Regions from separate parts of the Mus musculus genome. Here all the other regions are reported to be linked to region 3. The links are microRNA targets in miRTarBase. Many come from high-throughput screens and were not tested one by one. Region 3 holds a microRNA gene; each other region holds the end of a gene's coding sequence.

Region 1 (4,064 bases), not on the chromosome of region 3:
ATGGCTGTTTCCTGTGGTGTGTGGAAAGGGGTATTTGCAAACCTGACTTTTGGGTCTGCTGGTAGCTTTCCAGAGTTGGAATGCCATGAGTCCAGGCTGTTGACTACCCCACTTGTGGACTGTGATCTGGAATACTGTGAGCACACAGGCAGTCCATTGCTCTGTAAAAGATGTAAGCATGGGCAGCTGACCACCTTACCCTGCTGATGGCTCTGAGTTGGGGGTGCTGTGATCTCACAGGCAGTCTGCTTCCCTGCCAACAGCCTCTGAAGTCTTTTTGGTCAGTAGCTCAGGCACTATGGTTGGCTCGTAAGGGTGAGTGTCAGGGCCATTGAGAAAGGCTCAGTATGCTTGTTGGTGTTGGGTGCTACCACTCAGCTCTGTCGTCTTCCCACAGCATTTGAAGACATGCTGGAGAATCCGCTTAACAGCACCCAGTGGATGAACGACCCAGAGACGGGCCCGGTCATGCTGCAGATCTCTAGGATCTTCCAGACGCTGAATCGCACGTAGGTGGTACCTACTGTGCTCCTTGGCTGTGCAGTCTCAGCAGTCTGTGAGGCAGTGGGCACAGGGTTCAGCCGGGATCTTGCCTGGACCACAGCTTCTCGGACTCTCCTTTCCAGACCTAACAGCTTATCAACTTCTGCCACATGGCTTGAAAGTTGCAGTCCTAGCTTCTGACAGGTGTCTACAGAAAGTGGCTGTTGCATTGGGAAGGTGAATGATTGCTGCCCGTCCCTCCAGATACTCTGCTGGGCTCCTGAAGTGCTACTTGAATTGACCCTTAGGTGTTTGCTTGTGGAGCCCAATGTATTTAAAAGAAGGCATGTTCTGATCCAAAGTGTTATGTCAAGTGTGCTAATTTAACCAGACTGACTCACAGATGGCTTCTTTAATAAATAAACCCTTTTCCTATTTTTACTTGTGTTACTTCATGGCAGCAAGGACATCACATGTATCCCCTAGGCCGTGTACACATTGTCTCTGCCCAGAGCAGGTGTCATTGCCACTTCTTTCTAGATACTATTTCTCTGTGTAGCCCTGGATGTCCTAAAAATCACTCTGTAAACCAGGCTGCCCTTGAACTCAGAAATCTGCCTCCTGAGCGCTGGGATTAAAGGCGCGTGCCACCACCTCTCAGCTTTCATGGCTACTTCTTCACTTGGAAACCTGAATCCTCTGAGCCCAGCTCAAGTTGGGTTTGGGGCTGTGACATTTCAAGTAGCAGGCCTTCCCCCCAGCCACAGCAGATGGAGCAGGGTGTGTGTGTGTGTGTGTGTACACTCACAGGTGCATGTACTCATGTGTACCTTGTGCCAGAACACAAACGTGGGGATCACACCTGCCCTACTCAGGAGTTGGTTCTTTCCTTCCACCATGGTCCCGGGGATCAAGCCCAGCTCATCAGGTTCCTGCAGCAAGGACTTAAAAAAACAAACACTCTTCTGACTCATCTTGCTGGCTCATGATCTAGTCCCCTTTCTGTGACCCCTGCTCAGGGTTACTGTAAAAAGCATTTAGCTCTTGAGTGTGTTTAAGCATGTCTGAGAAGCTGCAGCATAGGTGAGGTATAGGAATAGCTACAGCCTTGGCTGGCACTCACCCTGCTGGAGCTGAGCCAGAAGACTCTAACATGGAAAAGGAGCTCAGCGGCTGGAGTGTTCGCTGTACAAGCAAGGGGACCTGAGTTCACATCCCAGCACCAGGTAAAAAGCCAGGCATGGCAGCACACAGCTGTAATTCCAGCATTTGGAGATGGTAAGTGGAGTTTCGATCCTGGGGGGTTAACAAGATAAGCTGGAAAGTGATAGAAGACATTAGACACTGACTCTGGCATGTGTGTGCAAGCACACATATAACAAAGACTATGACGGGATCTGCCTGTCTTCCTAGTGCGTTGAAGAGTCATGGTTCAGAATCTCCGAGGGAGGGTGGAGAGATGACTCGTCACTTAAGACCACTTGCTGTTCAAGTTTAAGTCCCAGGATCCACATTGGATGGCTCACAACCGCTTGTCTGACTCCAACCCCAGCTCCAGGAAAGCCGATTTCCTCTTGTAGCCTCTGTACACACATCCAAACAAAAATAAAGATCTTCACAGAACTTCAAGGAACCATCTCTATGGGCTCTGGAGGCCATGGGGAGTGTTCTGTACTTGGGGATAGGTCCTGATGCTGGTCTTTTGTCCAGGATCTGTGTGTGTGTGGTGTGTGTGTGTTCTGCAACACTAGTATCCTCTGAGACAAGCATTGTGTTCATGTAATAAAGGAGCTAACACAAACTGGCTCTGAAAAGGGGTCTTCGTTTGGAAAGAATAGATTTCCTGCTCTGGCTGTTTGGGTTTTTTTCATGTTTTGTTTGTTTTGTTTTTCAAGACAGGTTTGTGTGTGTGTGTATGTAGCCCTGGCTGTCCTGGAACTCACTCTGTAGACCAGGCTGGCCTTGAACTCAGAAATTCACCTGCCTTTGCCTCCTAAGTGCTGTAATTAAATCCGTGTGCCACCACTGCCTGACTGCTTTTGGCTGTTCTTACAGTTGTGTTTCCTCTGCTAGCGTGTGCCTTCTGTGGCCCACTTTTAGCCTGAGGTTGCAAATGTACTTTCTTTAATTCCAACCACTAGTAAGCATAGAACAGTGTTTCAGTTGGGTTGTAGTTCTTAGACATTAAAAAGAATCTTTAATTGCTTATGGTGTGTTTGAGAGAGTGTGAGCTACCATGATATATGAAGATTGGAGGATACTTTGTGAGGTATCTAACTCAGGTCATCAGACTCACATGCAATTTTACTTGCTGAACCAACCCCCCACCCCCCAGCTCTGCGCCACTGTGGAGTTCGGGGAAGAACCATAGTATTGGTAACCATGGCTGCTCTTGGGCCTCAGAGAGTAACTACCTTAGTGCCAAATTTCCACTCCTGCTTTGGCCATCAGGGAGAGCACAGCATCTCTGTGTTGCCTGATATTTAATACACAGTCTCTGTGGAGCCTTTTGGGTGAACACTGTATGGCAGTCATTGTTTAGGGCTGATGTTTCATGACTAGCAAAGCATGAATTTATCATTTTACAATGAAAGCTGGGATGCAGAGAGAGGAAGGACATCTGTGCCTTGACCTGCTTTACGCTATTGATGACCAAGTGACTTCTCAGCCAGTTGGGGTAGGTTGTGTGCCTCTGAGTTGTATCTGTTGGCCATGAGGTATGGACATAGGTCCAGTGACATTGAAGCCTGACAGAACAGTTGGCCTGGAACATTCGTTCTATTGAACACAGGGTAGTGTGTCATTTCAACTTCTGTATGTCCGTGTCCAATAGGGAATGTGAATAGGTCTCTGTGCAGATCCACAGGTGACACTTGTCCCTGGGGACAAAAGGGAGCTCTTGTGGATATAGGAAGGCCTTGGGGTCCATGGCCCACAGCCCTCTTGGGGGGCAGGACCTGTGCTGAGATCCTACATTCAGGCCTGGTGGGCCGAAGGGGTGGTGAGAAAACTTAATGGAATGGCTGGAAGGTAGCTTCAAGCATGGGGCCTACAGCAGCTAGAGATCCTGTTCCCAGAGTTTACTTTCCAAACCTTCACACTGGGCCTGAGTATGGCTGTAATGAGAGCTGAGGAGACCAATGGTTTATTGTGAAATACGTGAATGGCATGTTTCTAACTGGCATGTTTCTAACTGGCCTTAAGACTCCCAGGTATATTTGGGGTTGAACTCTGCACATTTAGACTAAGTCTATATCTTAGACTATAGTCTGAGATGCATGCCAAGGGGCAGTTAAGGAAGTGGATACAACACTCAAGAGCTGGTCATATAGAGAGATTTCTCAGGGTAGCTGTGGATTGTGGGCCAGGAATAGGGTGTGTGGGAAAGTGTGGGAAGGTGTACATAGTACCCAGAAGCAACACATGAACTACATACTCCTTTGTCAGCTGACCTGTTGGCTTTCTACCCTTGCTAGACCCTTGCCATCTTTACCTGGGATGCTTTGTTGTCCATGCACACCCTGTGACTACAACATGGTGATTTTGGGACTGGTTCTTTGGGATCTTGTCTCCTGCTTGGT
Region 2 (4,064 bases), not on the chromosome of region 3:
CCCCCGATTTGGGGGCTGGTTTGCCATCCGAGGGGTTATGTTGCTGCCAGGGATTGAAGTGCCAAATTTGCCACCCAGAAAGCCCCCTGACTGTGTGCCTACAAGAGCTGGCCGCATCACTCTGCTTGAAGGTTTCAATTTCCATTGGCGGGACTGGACTTACCGTGATGCTGTGACTCCTGAAGAACGGTACTCCGAAGAACAGAAGATCTACTTTTCCACCCCACCTGCCCAACGCTTGGCCCTATTAGGCTTAGCCCAACCCTCAGAACACCCTAGCACTACATCTGAGCTTCCTCTTTCCTTGCTTACTAAACCTCAGAATTCCAGGAGAGCTCGAAGCTGGCTGAGTCCAAGTGTCTCACCACCTGTATCCCCAGGCCCTTGATAACTTTTCCCCTTCAGGATCCCACTCATAGTAGATTTATTTTAAGTAGGATTTGGGTTTTGAAAAAAACACTTTCTCCTTTTTTAGTTTTTTTGAGACAAGGTTCCTCTATGTAGCTCAGACCAGGTTGGCCTCAAGCTAAGAGAGATCCATCTGCCTCTGTCTTCTCCAGAGTGCTGATTTTTTGCACTGTGGAAAAACCATTTTATTTTAGGTAGGATTTCCTGATAATAGTGCTTCAGACAGTCAAGACTCAATTTACATTGGTCAAGATAAATCATATGCCAAGGCAGACTCAAAAATCAGCAGTTGACTTCAAATATTAGACTCATGCCCATTACTATTTTTTTGTTTTTGTTTTTTGTTTTTTCAAGACAGGGTTTCTCTGTGTAGCCCTGGCTGTCCTGGAACTCACTCTGTTGACCAGGCTGGCCTCAAACTCAGAAATCCACCTGCCTCTGCCTCCCGAGTGCTGGGATTAAAGGCGTGCACTACCAAGCCCGGCTTTGTGTAGTACTCTTAAGATACTATTTAAGAACCATGGTTCTCACTGTTCGTTCCTAAAGCTGCTATCATTTAATGCAGTTCCTCATGTTGTAGTGACCGCAACCATAAAATTATTTTTGTTGCTACCTAATAATTTTGCTAGTTATGAATCAATTGTCTTAGGGAATCCAGTGAAAGGGTTGTTCAACAACCCCTGGGGGCTGAGAATCACAGATTTAGCAGCTCCTAGGGGTACCCACCACATTGAGCTATGCTGAATTAATATTTAAGTAAACTACATTGAAACTGCCCCGACCTACAGTGTGCTATTACTAAAGGCTCAGGCAATCTTATACTTATGCTCAAATAGATGTACTTTGAATTCTGGAATGTTGGAAGGACATGATGTCATAGGATTATTTTGTCAACCCTAACCAAGAATCCAGAAGAAACTTCCTGACTTTACAGGATCAGAAAGGAATATTCTCTCATCACAGCTAAAATACAAGTAGTTGAATACAATCATATCCAAAGCCACCAACTTTGTTTGCCTGTTTGTTGATTCCAGAGATAGTTTCCCAATTCTGATATTTCAAATTTCACTCCCAGGGTCCAGGGAGGTTAGTTGGTAAATTGTAATGTGCTGTTTTTACTTGTTGAAAACTAAAACAGGAGACAGACCAGTCTCAGACTCAATCATGTTTCCTTGAACAGGAATCCACCCCCGCCCTCCAAACCCTGCAACAGGGAGGGAGAAGCAAACTACTGAGGGTATTAAGGGATCTGCAACCCTATAGGTGGAACAACATTATGAACTAACCAGTACCCCGGAGCTCTTGACTCTAGCTGCATATATATCAAAAGATGGCCTAGTCGGCCATCACTGGAAAGAGAGGCCCATTGGACTTGCAAACTTTATATGCCCCAGTACAGGGGAACACCAGGGCCAAAAAGGGGGAGTGGGTGGGCAGGGGAGTGGGGGTGGGTGGATATGGGAGACTTTTGGTATAGCATTGGAAATGTAAATGAGTTAAATACCTAATAAAAAATGGAAAAAAAATATCTAATAAAAACTAAAATAAATTATTAAAAAAAAAAAAAAAGAAAGAAAGAAATTACACCCAGGAAGGAGAGAGGTTAAGGGCACTGGATACTCTTGTAGAAGTCCTGAGTGATTCCCAGCAATCACATGATGTGACCTGGTGCTGTCTTCTGGCCCGCAGGTATATGTGCGGGGAGACCATGTGTATACATGACATGTATATAACATGTATATAGTAAATCTTAAAAATGCATCCTGAAAACTGGTAGGTGTAACATTTCCAAGGTTAGTGTTACTTATTCCGTGATATAAAAATGTAGTGGCAAAAGGGAAAAAGAAGCCCTAATAACTTTTTCAAGCACTTTGCTGTGCCCTGCCCAGAACTCCAATGTTCCATACTTTGGTTGCTGGGAACAAGGGGACAATTATTGGAGCTTATTGGCCAGCAAAGCTCAGTAAGCACCCAGTTCAATTAAGACTGCCTCATCAGGTGGCTCACAACTGCTTCTCATTCCAGCCCCAAAAGGTCAGACACATTCTTCTGGTCTACAAACAAGCGAAGTGTTACCATGTAGCCTAATCTAGCACTCATCTATGAGATTAAAACTTGACAGGCCCAGTGGTCATTCCTTTTTCCTCCTAGATTACATTCATATTTGTGGGAGAGAGGCATATCACAGTGCATTTATGAAGTCAGAGGACAACTTGTAGGAAGGAGTCAATTGTCTCTTCTTCCACCATGTGGCAAGTATCTTTAATGTGGTGGTTTGAGTAGGCACAGTCCCTAGACTGTTTTTGACTGCTCGGCCATAGGTAATTGCACTGTCAGTAAGTGTGGTCTTGGTGTGAAGTGTCACTGTGGGAACAGGCTTTGAGGTGTCCTATACTCAAACCACACCCAGTGTGGCACACACATCTTTTTCTGCTTAGAACTCACAACTCCTTAGCCAGCACCATATCTTCCTGTACTGTGCCATGTTTCTCACCATAATGGACTAAATAATGACTATAAGCCAGCCCCAATTAAATGTTCTCCTTTTTTAGAGTTGCCATGGTCAGAGTCTCTTAACAGCAATAAAACTCTAAGATACCCAATGAACTTCTTATTGGCCAAGTCCTATTTATTTTGCAGAGCAGACAGACACTAGGCATTTATCCTAAGAAGCAAAAATTCTGTTCCATGCAACCCTCCCAGCACTAAACAGCTCAAATAAATCTTTCCCAGACTTGCCTATAACCCAGCAAACATGAACTGCAGTGCAATGGCTGAGAGGACAGCAGGGCTTGGGTCTGCTTTTCAATCTAAAATATTGTTAAACTAAAAACTTTCTTCTGTGTGGGTATGTGTACTGAAGCCTTTTTTTCCCTTTAAAGACCAGGCCTAATGCATCACACAGGTGAACCTCTGATCCTTTTGCCTTCAGTTCACTAGTACTGAGATTACAGGTGTGTACTATCACACCTTGTTTACATGGCAATAGGGTTATAACAAGGCTTGTGCACACTAAACGTAATAGTTAACTTCTGTCAACTTGACAGTATTTTTTTTTCATTTATTCATTCACCCAGGAGAAGAAACCTCAATTTAAACATTTCCAAGATTAGAGTGGTCTGTGGGACATTTTCTGCTTCAGTTCCTCCTTGAAGTCCTACCCTGACTTTACCTCAGGTATGACTGTGACCAGGAAGTATAAGCCAGATACTTTTTAGTTGCTGTGTTCAGCAACAAGTAAAACAGAATACCAGGCAAGCACTCTACCAAAAGCTTTGTCTCCAGACCTGAGGCACCTTTCAACCTTTCAAACCCAATTTTCTAAGAAAAACAGGGGCTTTGGAGATAGTTCAGCTGTGACATGCTTGTGAGGAAGCAATTTACTCCATGGAACTCCCATTTAAAAAAAAAAAAAAAAGCTAGGCATGAAGCAGACAGTGGTGGCACACACTTTTAATTCCTGGCAGATTAAATAGGCAGGTAGATCTTTCAGAGGCCAGCCTAGTCTACAGAGTTCCAGGACAGCCAGGGCTGTTACACAGAGAAACCCTGTCTCGAAAAACAAAAGGCCAACTATGGTAATCCATGCTTATAAAACCAGCACTAGAAAAGTAGATCCTGAGAGCTTACTAGCCTCACATATACATCAAGTTCTA
Region 3 (4,065 bases):
AGCTGTCTGTAGCTCCAGCTCTAGGGGGATCTAACAGTCTCTCTGGACTCTGAGGGCATCTGTATATCTGCACTCTCATGTACATACCCCAACAAACACACACCTATAATTAAAAATAAAGAGAGGTTGCTTGGCAGCTAAGAGTACTTTAGGAGGATCATGGTTCAGTTCTCAGCACTCACATGGAACTCTAGTTCCAAGGGATCTGACTCTCTTCTCACCTCTGCAGGCCCACACATACACATAGGCACACACATATACACACAGGCACACACACATACACACAGGCACACACACACATACAAGCCAACAAAACACTTATACATACAGCATGAATACAAAAAATAAATCTTTTAAAACTTTCTAGGTCACCCTCGACCACAAAGGGAATTTCAGGCCAATATGGGATATACGAAGCCACGGTTTTATCTTTTTTTTTTTTTTTTTTTGGTTTTTCGAGACAGGGTTTCTCTTTATAGCCCTGGCTGTTCTGGAACTCACTTTGTAGACCAGGCTGGCCTCGAACTCAGAAATCCACCTGCCTCTGCCTCCCGAGTGCTGGGATTAAAGGCGTGCGCCACCACGCCCGGCCTTTTTTCTATCTTTTTTTTTTTTTTTTTAAGCCACGGTTTTAAAAGAAACAAGCAAAGATGGTCACCAGAACACTTGCCAGGTCCTTGATCCTTCAACACCACCATTGGTATTTCTTTTTTTAAAATTATCCTTATTTCAATTTATGTGAATATGTGTGCATTTTGTGCGAATGGGTGCCATGTATGTTGAGATTTTCCTGGAGGAGAGAAGTGGACAATGGCTCTCCTGGACATAAGCAGTTGTGAGCCTCCCATGTAGATGCCCGGAACTGAACTCGGGTCATTTGCAAGAATAGCAAGCACTCCTTACCCTAAACCATCCCTCCAGCCACCCCTAGTATGTTTACACTATTGTTTATATCCCTAGAGCAGGAAATACAACTTCATAGCACCTCGGTCTAGCAGCTCCCTGAACACAGAATGGTTTTGGTGCCTATAAAAACTGACATCTGGATACCAGAGTGGAGTCTGTGGGCCGGTGAGCAACATTTTGCGTTCTCACCACCAGGGGGCAGTAGGGCCCTGGCCTCCAAGCCCGGGTCCGCAGTCAGTCCAGAACAAGGAGACCAGAGCGCGTTTTGAATTCCAACATTCCGGCGGGATCCTTGGGTGGCTTTTCCAAACGTTCTTCACCTGCCAGCCTCCGCCCACCCAGACTAAGGAGGACCCAGTAGAAAATAGCTTGCACTGAAGCCCAGGTAAAGGGAGGAGGAGTTTATTTTATGTTTCACTCATAGGTTTTGCAGGGTTTCCAAGGAAGACTAGAGAATTTTATGGAGAAAGGTGGTTAATTCCATAGTCAGTATCAAAGATGGGCTGGATTTCAAGTTGCCATTAAAGAAAGCTAGCCCTTCCCTCTCTAGGCCTTCTGCTGATCTGGAGAGTAACCCTACCCTGGTTCTCCAAAGGGTATGTTACTTCTGTCCGCAGGTCCCAACCTTCATAGACCTCAGGGTCTGCGCTCCTAGAAGGAAAAGGGGAAGAGAAAGAACACCCTCAGGGAGAAGTTTGGCCTCTAGGCCTCCACCTCCTCTTCACTCTCTGGATCGCGTCTAGGACTTTTGAGTTTGGGTTAGAGTGGCGCTCCAGGGGACCAAGAGGCACCTTCTCCCTCCACCCCAGTGCCCAGGTGCTGCAGGGAGGGCTGGGAGACCGACAAGCATCGGAAAGGGAGTCTCCCACCTTCTCAGAGGCCCGTCTCCGCGGAGGCCAGATCACCGACAATTTTCCATCTCCCCTGCTCGCTGTGGGGGAAGGAACACTCAGCCGCGACTGCCCCTCCTCTTGCCAGCTGGAGGATGGCCGCACCCCTTATATACATACAGGTGTGCACCCCTCTTCCCCATGAAGGCCTCCACCCAGTTCTGAGGACCCAGGAACAGGAATGAGGCAAACTCAATGTAGAGAGGCACCCGAGTACTACAGAGGACCCGAGAACGCCAGAAGTCAAGGTTCCAAGGTCTGATGGATGTGGGGATCCTCACTCCAGGAGTGGGAGTGAAGAAAAGAAGGTGAACCCCCAGGAGAATAGTTAAGGGTCTGCAAGCCTACAGATGAATGATCACTGGAGGTGGAGACAGCTGGAGCTCTAGGGCCCAGGGGGACCGCTTACGGGTGAGGCTCGGCGCTGGCTCCTGGACCTCGGCGTCGCCGTAGATGCTGCGCCGCTGCAACTGCAGCTCCCGCTCGCGCTCGCGCACTCGTCGCACCTCCTGCTCCAGCAGTGACGGGGCAACGAGCGGTGGCAACTGCCCCAGTACCGGACAGCCGTCCTGAACGGCGGGGTGCAGCCGGCCTCCGGTCTCTGGCTGCCTCTGCAAGCCAGCGCCGTCCTCCGCCGCAGCCTCAAAGAAGCGCTTGAGTTCGTCCAGCGGCTGCGGCCGCCGCCGGGCGCTAGGCTCCGGAACCGCGGGGCTCGCCAGCGCCGCCTGCCTGTGAGCCTCGCGTTCGATGTCCCGTTGCATCTTCGCGCCCGCCCGAGCGCGCTCCAGGGCGCGCGGCAGCGGAGTACCGGAGCCGGGCCGACTGAGCACCGGCCGCACGCGCAACTCAATGAGTTCCTCGCCCGCGCGACCGGGACTCAGACCCCGGCTCCGGCGCAGGCTTTCCTCCCGCTCGCAGCTGCGGCGGATTTCGCGCTGGATGGGCGTCTCCATCTGCAATTCCGCCGGCGCCGGTTTGGATGCCGCGGGCTTCGGTAGAAAACACACCTGGAGGCCTCTGAGCCGAGACAGGGGCACAACTGCCCCAGTACCTCCGTTATACTAGTGCCAGGCGGCCCAGCTGTGGACCGCCCGGGCGCTCGGTCCGGTGCTCAACTGGCACCTGCGGGACCTGGCTCTCTGGCTCCAGAGTCTGCAAGTGCTCCTCTCCAGAGGTTTCCAGGACCTCACTGCCTCCCCCAGCAGCCCTCGGTGCCCTGGCTCTGCGGCTCCCGGAACACGTAGCCTTCAGGCGACCCCAGGACTCCACTCTCGGACACCCGAGGACATGGATGTTTGGAGTTAGGCGCCCTTTGAAAATTTTAGTTCTCAGAGCCGAATTGAGATGCCCAAATAGGTAGGACACGGTGCCCTGTGCAGTACCTGTAGTTACAGCCGCCGCCCGAGGTTCATAGGCGTCGCCAGCACTCTTCTTTGACCCGCCTCTGGCCTCCAGGAACATCCCCTGGGGGCAGGACTGGGCACCGCCCCCGTCACCTGCCAGCTGGATTCGAGTGGCCCTGGACCCGCCCTATGGGCCAGGGCGCCTCCACTGCTCTCCGGATTCCCGCCACCTGAACACACGGGTTGACTGAAGGGGTGGCTTCTTCGGAAAGGGCTTCCCTGAACTCACTACCCAGGGGGTATGTGTCGCCCTTTCCCTCTGGTACCACGCTGGCATTCTGGGGTCTTTTTTTTTTTTTTTTTTTTTTTTCATCACTTTCCGGAGACCTGACCTCTAGCGGAGCGCCGCGCTGATCGCTGAACCACGGCCTCCTTACAGAGTGTTTCCCCGGTCGTCTTTCGCTGACCTCACTAGTCTAGGTCAGCAAGTGCCAGCCTGCGGCCAGCGACACCACTCTCCTTCCCCCCGCCCCCTATCCCGTGATCTCCGGGCCTTCTCTGCACACTGATCGCTGAGGCAACACAGCTCGAGTCCAGCCCGAGGGTCGCCCGGGGCCGCCGCACTGGGTGCTGCTGCTACCCGGGGCTGCTCAGCTCTGTCTGGTTTGCAGCGGCGCTGCCGCCACTCAAAACCCTGGGGCAGATTCCCCACCCCCACCTTCCAGAAAAGCCCGCAAGGCATTGGCAGCCAAGTGTCCAGCTAGAATGAGCGGTGTTTGAGGGCACAGACATTACAGGACTTCCGGGCCTCAGCCGAGCAATTGTGGCTGGAAGGCGGTCAGCTTGGACCAGTTTGCCCAGGAGGCCCAAGATGGGGCAGAGGAGCCACCGGGTTAGCGGGAGGCAGTAGCGACCTTTGTCTGGTG
Region 4 (4,064 bases), not on the chromosome of region 3:
TAAATAATCTTTCTAAAGTGTTAAATTATTAATCCTCTTCTACACATGCTTTTTAACCTGTTACTTATTGCAAAGAGAAACAACCCAATCTCTGTAGGTCTGGCTTTGCTCTTTGGGCCTATATACCATAAATTATGGAGCATCTGCTGCTGCCTTTGCAAGTTTTAAAATGTCTTTGGAACATTATCTCATAGGCTGGCTATAAGAAAAAATTATGGAAAAAGTCAACTGCAAGAAAGAAGCGCTTGAGGGAATTTGTGTTCTGCAGCAAGACCCAGAGTAAACTCCTGGATAAAATGACGACATCTTTCTGGAAGAGGCGCAACTGGTACGCTGGCGATCCTTACCAGATGTACCACGATCGAACAAACCTACGAGTATAGTTCAGAGCTATCATAGTTCCCAGCTATGGAATGTGGGTCTTTGTGTACATAATGCCCTTGCAAAGTGAGTATGCGTTAAACTGTAAACTGTACCAGCTGATCGGCAAGCTTAGATTACCACCATTGTGCATTAAACATTCCCAGAGTTGGTCATAGAACTAAAAGTTAAATTTATTGTGCATTATTTCAAAAAACTGGTAATGGCTTTCCTTATTTCTGGAATCTTGGATGAGGAAAAACACGAAAAGACGCTCAACAGTGGGCCTTTGTGTGGAATTGAGATGGTATCCAGGTTTTTGCACATGCTAAACAGACATCTTACATGCCTATTCCCAATATGACACATGCTGTGTTTAAAAAATAAATACCTAGGAACTCAGGAACCTCCTCACTGTCTCCTACCTGTAACTCTCTGCCCCAGCTTTGGGGAGGGCAGGAATTGGATGAAGCAAGAGATGGTGGGACTTTATGCCTTGGTTCTACTGTGAGAGTGTGTGGTGTGTGTGTGTGTGTGTGTGTCTACTCACCATCACTCTCTTTAGTCTTGGCTTTTGTTTATGTAAAGTTTCTATCTCTCAGACTCCCTTCAGCCTGAACCTTTGGGTTCCCTTTAACATTACAACCCTCAACTCTTGTCATCTCTTCTCTCTTAATTGCCAGGGAACTCTCATTGGGCCATCCTGCCTTTTCCTCGTAAGTCTGAATCAATGCCATCATGCAATGTAGAGCTTATCTGTTTGTGGCTAGGACTCCACCCAGGCTCTCTTAGTTGTATCAGTAGGTTCATATGGAGTAAAAAGGTAGGTGTGAGCTGTTTTCCTTAGAGGTACATAGAGTAGCAGGGCACTTTCATCTTGTGTCCTGGGTTCTTTGTATTTATGACAGTTATTACTAATTTTATTGTAACAGGATACTTTTCATAAAAATAAATCACCTTCCCAAATACCCTTCTTGAAATACATAGCTATATAATAAACTCTTTTGCCCAGTTTTTCTTTTCTACTTTACTTTTTATTTTTTACATATGAGTATTTTGTCTGCATGTGTGTATGTGCCCTTGAAGGCCAGAGGAAAGTTGTTGGGTCTACTGGCATTGGAATTACAGATGGTTGTGAGCCACCATGTTGGTGCTGGGAATTGAACCTGGGCCCTCTACAAGAACAGCCAGTTCTTAAATGCTGAACTGTCTCTCCAGGCCTCTGCCCAATTTTTCAAAGGCACTGAATTTTTAAAAAGTTTATCCACTTAAGATTTCTTATTTTCATTGGTAAAGATCAGCTTTTTTTTTCCAGAATTCTCTAAAACGCAGGGTGGAAACTAAGGGAGAAAGTTGCCTGTCATTTAATGAGACTGATGTCAGCTGTGCTCAGAAGGCAACAGTATCATTCATTTTATCTTTTTGTTTGTTTGTTTGTTTGTTTTTTCAAGACAGGGTTTCTCTGGCTGTCCTGGAACTCTTTGTAGACCAGGCTGGCCTCGAACTCAGAAATCAGCCTGCCTCTGCCTCCTGAGTGCTGGGATTAAAGGCGTGGGCCACCACGCCCAGCTAGTATCATTCATTTTAGAAAAGAGTCTGGCCATTCCATCCTGAATGCACATGACTTTGTCTGATCTCAGAAGCTAAGTAGGGTCAGGTCGGGCCTGTTAGTAGTCAGATGGAGAAAGATGCAAAAGTTACACGTGGTTTACAGAGAGTCAGAATTGATGCTGCAGGCCGAGAGAGTGACTCTCTGCTCTCCCATCAGAACCATCTGGAAGCATTTCCAAACAAAGCAGCCTGCCTCATTGAAAATTCTATTAAGGATGAATGACTGTTTGAAATCCATTGATGATAACATGAAGTCCCCCATTTAGTAGAATAAGGCAATCAGTTGGTGTTTTGATGGCAGGTAGGCCAGGACTTTGAGGACCATTCAGTTTTTGTTTTGTTTTGTTTTGTTTTGCTTTGTTTTGTTTTGTTTTGTTTTTCGAGACAGGGTTTCTCTGTGTAGCCCTGGCTGTCCTGGAACTCACTTTGTAGACCAGGCTGGCTTCGAACTCAGAAATCCGCCTGCCTCTGCCTCCCGAGTGCTGGGATTAAAGGCGTGTGCCACCACTGCCCAGCTTAGGTTTGTTTTTTTTTTAATTTTTTTTTAATTTATCCATTTGAAGCCAGTTCTTCATTAAATGGAGAGGGATGTAGAATGTCGTAAAACCCCATATGTGTGTATGTGTGTATGTGTGGGGGCAGGTGATAGAGAGCAGGCGTGTGACTTGAGCACCTCATACACCAATGGCTCTGCCCCGGTGGCTCGTGCTGTGCTCACCCCTGAGGCGGCAGAAGCTGAGTGCTGTGAGGCTTTCGAGGTTCCTCGCCTGCACAGTTCCTGCTTCCCGCACATCTGTGGCACTGTGCTGAAGCTAAGGAGGGAGACACTGCACAGCCTTAGACTTTTCTAGAGTCGACATGGATGGTTCAGATCTCTGTTACATGGCCTCAGTGCCTTGGCTTCCCCTGTAGCCAAGGACAGGCTAGGCAGAGGACAGCGGCCACAGGCTGAAGTAGAAGGGCTGCAGGCACACCTCGGATGGAAAGGGAACTTCTTCATACATACAGCTTTTGTATGTGGGTAGGGGAGCCTTTCATCAAAGCCAAGTTTTTAGTTTGACAACAAAGCAGTTTGCTTTAGAGCCTGCCTAAATGATGTTCAAGTGTATGCATAACTGTTTATTTACATGTAATTTATTGAACACTTGTCATATTTAAGCAAATCTGCAAAACTCTGCTGCACCTCATGCCAACCTTATACAATCTTATACACGAGCTATCATTTATCCCTGATATAAATTGAAGGCACTAAAGCTTATAGAAGCTGAAATAAATTACTCTAAAATATAGCTAATGCATCCCAGATCCCCTGTCTAACTCTTTGGAATCTTGTGTACTTCCTTTGATTTTCTAACAACATAGGATACTCATATCTTGATCAACAAATGACTGTGATCTGACACTAGTAGTAAATACTCTACCCGTTCAAGTCTGAGTTGTGTGACTTTGCTCTCTACCTGTCAACTCTGTTGGTGCATAACCCTGGCTTAGTAAATGAGTAATGAATGAATGGATTTCTAGTCTTTCTTCCCATCTCTTCTTCCTGTTTTCTGCCCTCTGAATCTGCTGCTTTAGTTTCTAGTCTGTGTACTGTAAAAACAAGAGAACCGACCACACTTGAAGGTCTTTGTGACCTCCCAGTGAGGCTAGAGTGAGCCTGCTGCCTTACTGTTGGTTGGTTGGTTTTTGAGATAGAGTCTCAATTAGCCCCAGCTGGCCTCAAATTGATGTGTAACTGAGGATGACCTTGAATTTCTGATCCTCTTGTCCCTACCTCTGGATGCTGGGATGGATGGATGAAAGTCATGTTATATCACATCCTGTTTATGCAGTGCTGGAGACAGAACCCAGTACCTTGTGCATTCTCTATGACACTATGATAGCGATGGCCCTGGTGCCTGGTGCTCATAGTTTCAAGGCAAGGGATGCAGAAGTGCTATGGGCATTTTTACCATCCACAGTGGCTCTGCACATACACAAGCCTGTTCTAACCTGCATAGGCAATCCCCCATCTGCAAGTGAAGAAAAACTCAGGAAGAAAACTGCTACCCAGTTCTGCCCATACAAATAAAACTGCCCACCAGTGAACTGCT

The links. Region 3 holds the annotated microRNA mmu-miR-1199-5p (UCUGAGUCCCGGUCGCGCGG, at 2,659-2,678, opposite strand). A microRNA usually pairs through its seed, bases 2 to 8, with sites in the 3' UTR of a target mRNA and lowers its output. Matches are read on the target gene's strand: a 7mer-m8 pairs with bases 2 to 8, a 7mer-A1 pairs with bases 2 to 7 and ends in A, and an 8mer does both.
Region 1: miRTarBase lists Ubac1 as a target of mmu-miR-1199-5p. Seed matches in the 3' UTR shown: 7mer-A1 at 1,088-1,094 and 7mer-A1 at 2,450-2,456.
Region 2: the mRNA of Mmachc is a reported target of mmu-miR-1199-5p. Seed matches in the 3' UTR shown: 7mer-A1 at 827-833.
Region 4: miRTarBase lists Mrpl35 as a target of mmu-miR-1199-5p. Seed matches in the 3' UTR shown: 7mer-A1 at 1,864-1,870 and 7mer-A1 at 2,420-2,426.

What each region holds. Positions count from the first base shown.
Region 1 is chr2:25,995,401-25,999,464 of GRCm38, reverse strand. It overlaps Ubac1 (ubiquitin associated domain containing 1), which reads left to right. Exons shown (of 10, transcript NM_133835.2): 10 at 398-2,507. The coding sequence ends at 513. Among named protein-coding and RNA genes, the nearest start is that of Camsap1, 14 kb to the right of the region's middle.
Region 2 is chr4:116,699,781-116,703,844 of GRCm38, reverse strand. Mmachc (methylmalonic aciduria cblC type, with homocystinuria) reads left to right here. Exons shown (of 4, transcript NM_025962.3): 4 at 1-1,411. The coding sequence ends at 388. Prdx1 (peroxiredoxin 1) reads right to left here. Exons shown (of 6, transcript NM_011034.4): 6 at 3,845-4,064. Among named protein-coding and RNA genes, the nearest start is that of Mmachc, 6.6 kb to the left of the region's middle.
Region 3 is chr8:84,008,936-84,013,000 of GRCm38, forward strand. Mir1199 (microRNA 1199) reads right to left here and starts at 2,698; the gene lies at 2,580-2,698. Misp3 (MISP family member 3) reads right to left here and starts at 2,785. Exons shown (of 3, transcript NM_001291292.1): 1 at 2,206-2,785; 2 at 1,776-1,837; 3 at 1,293-1,557. The coding sequence starts at 2,749. The coding sequence ends at 1,543.
Region 4 is chr6:71,812,418-71,816,481 of GRCm38, reverse strand. It overlaps Mrpl35 (mitochondrial ribosomal protein L35), which reads left to right. Exons shown (of 4, transcript NM_025430.3): 4 at 195-3,485. The coding sequence ends at 383. Among named protein-coding and RNA genes, the nearest start is that of Mrpl35, 9.3 kb to the left of the region's middle.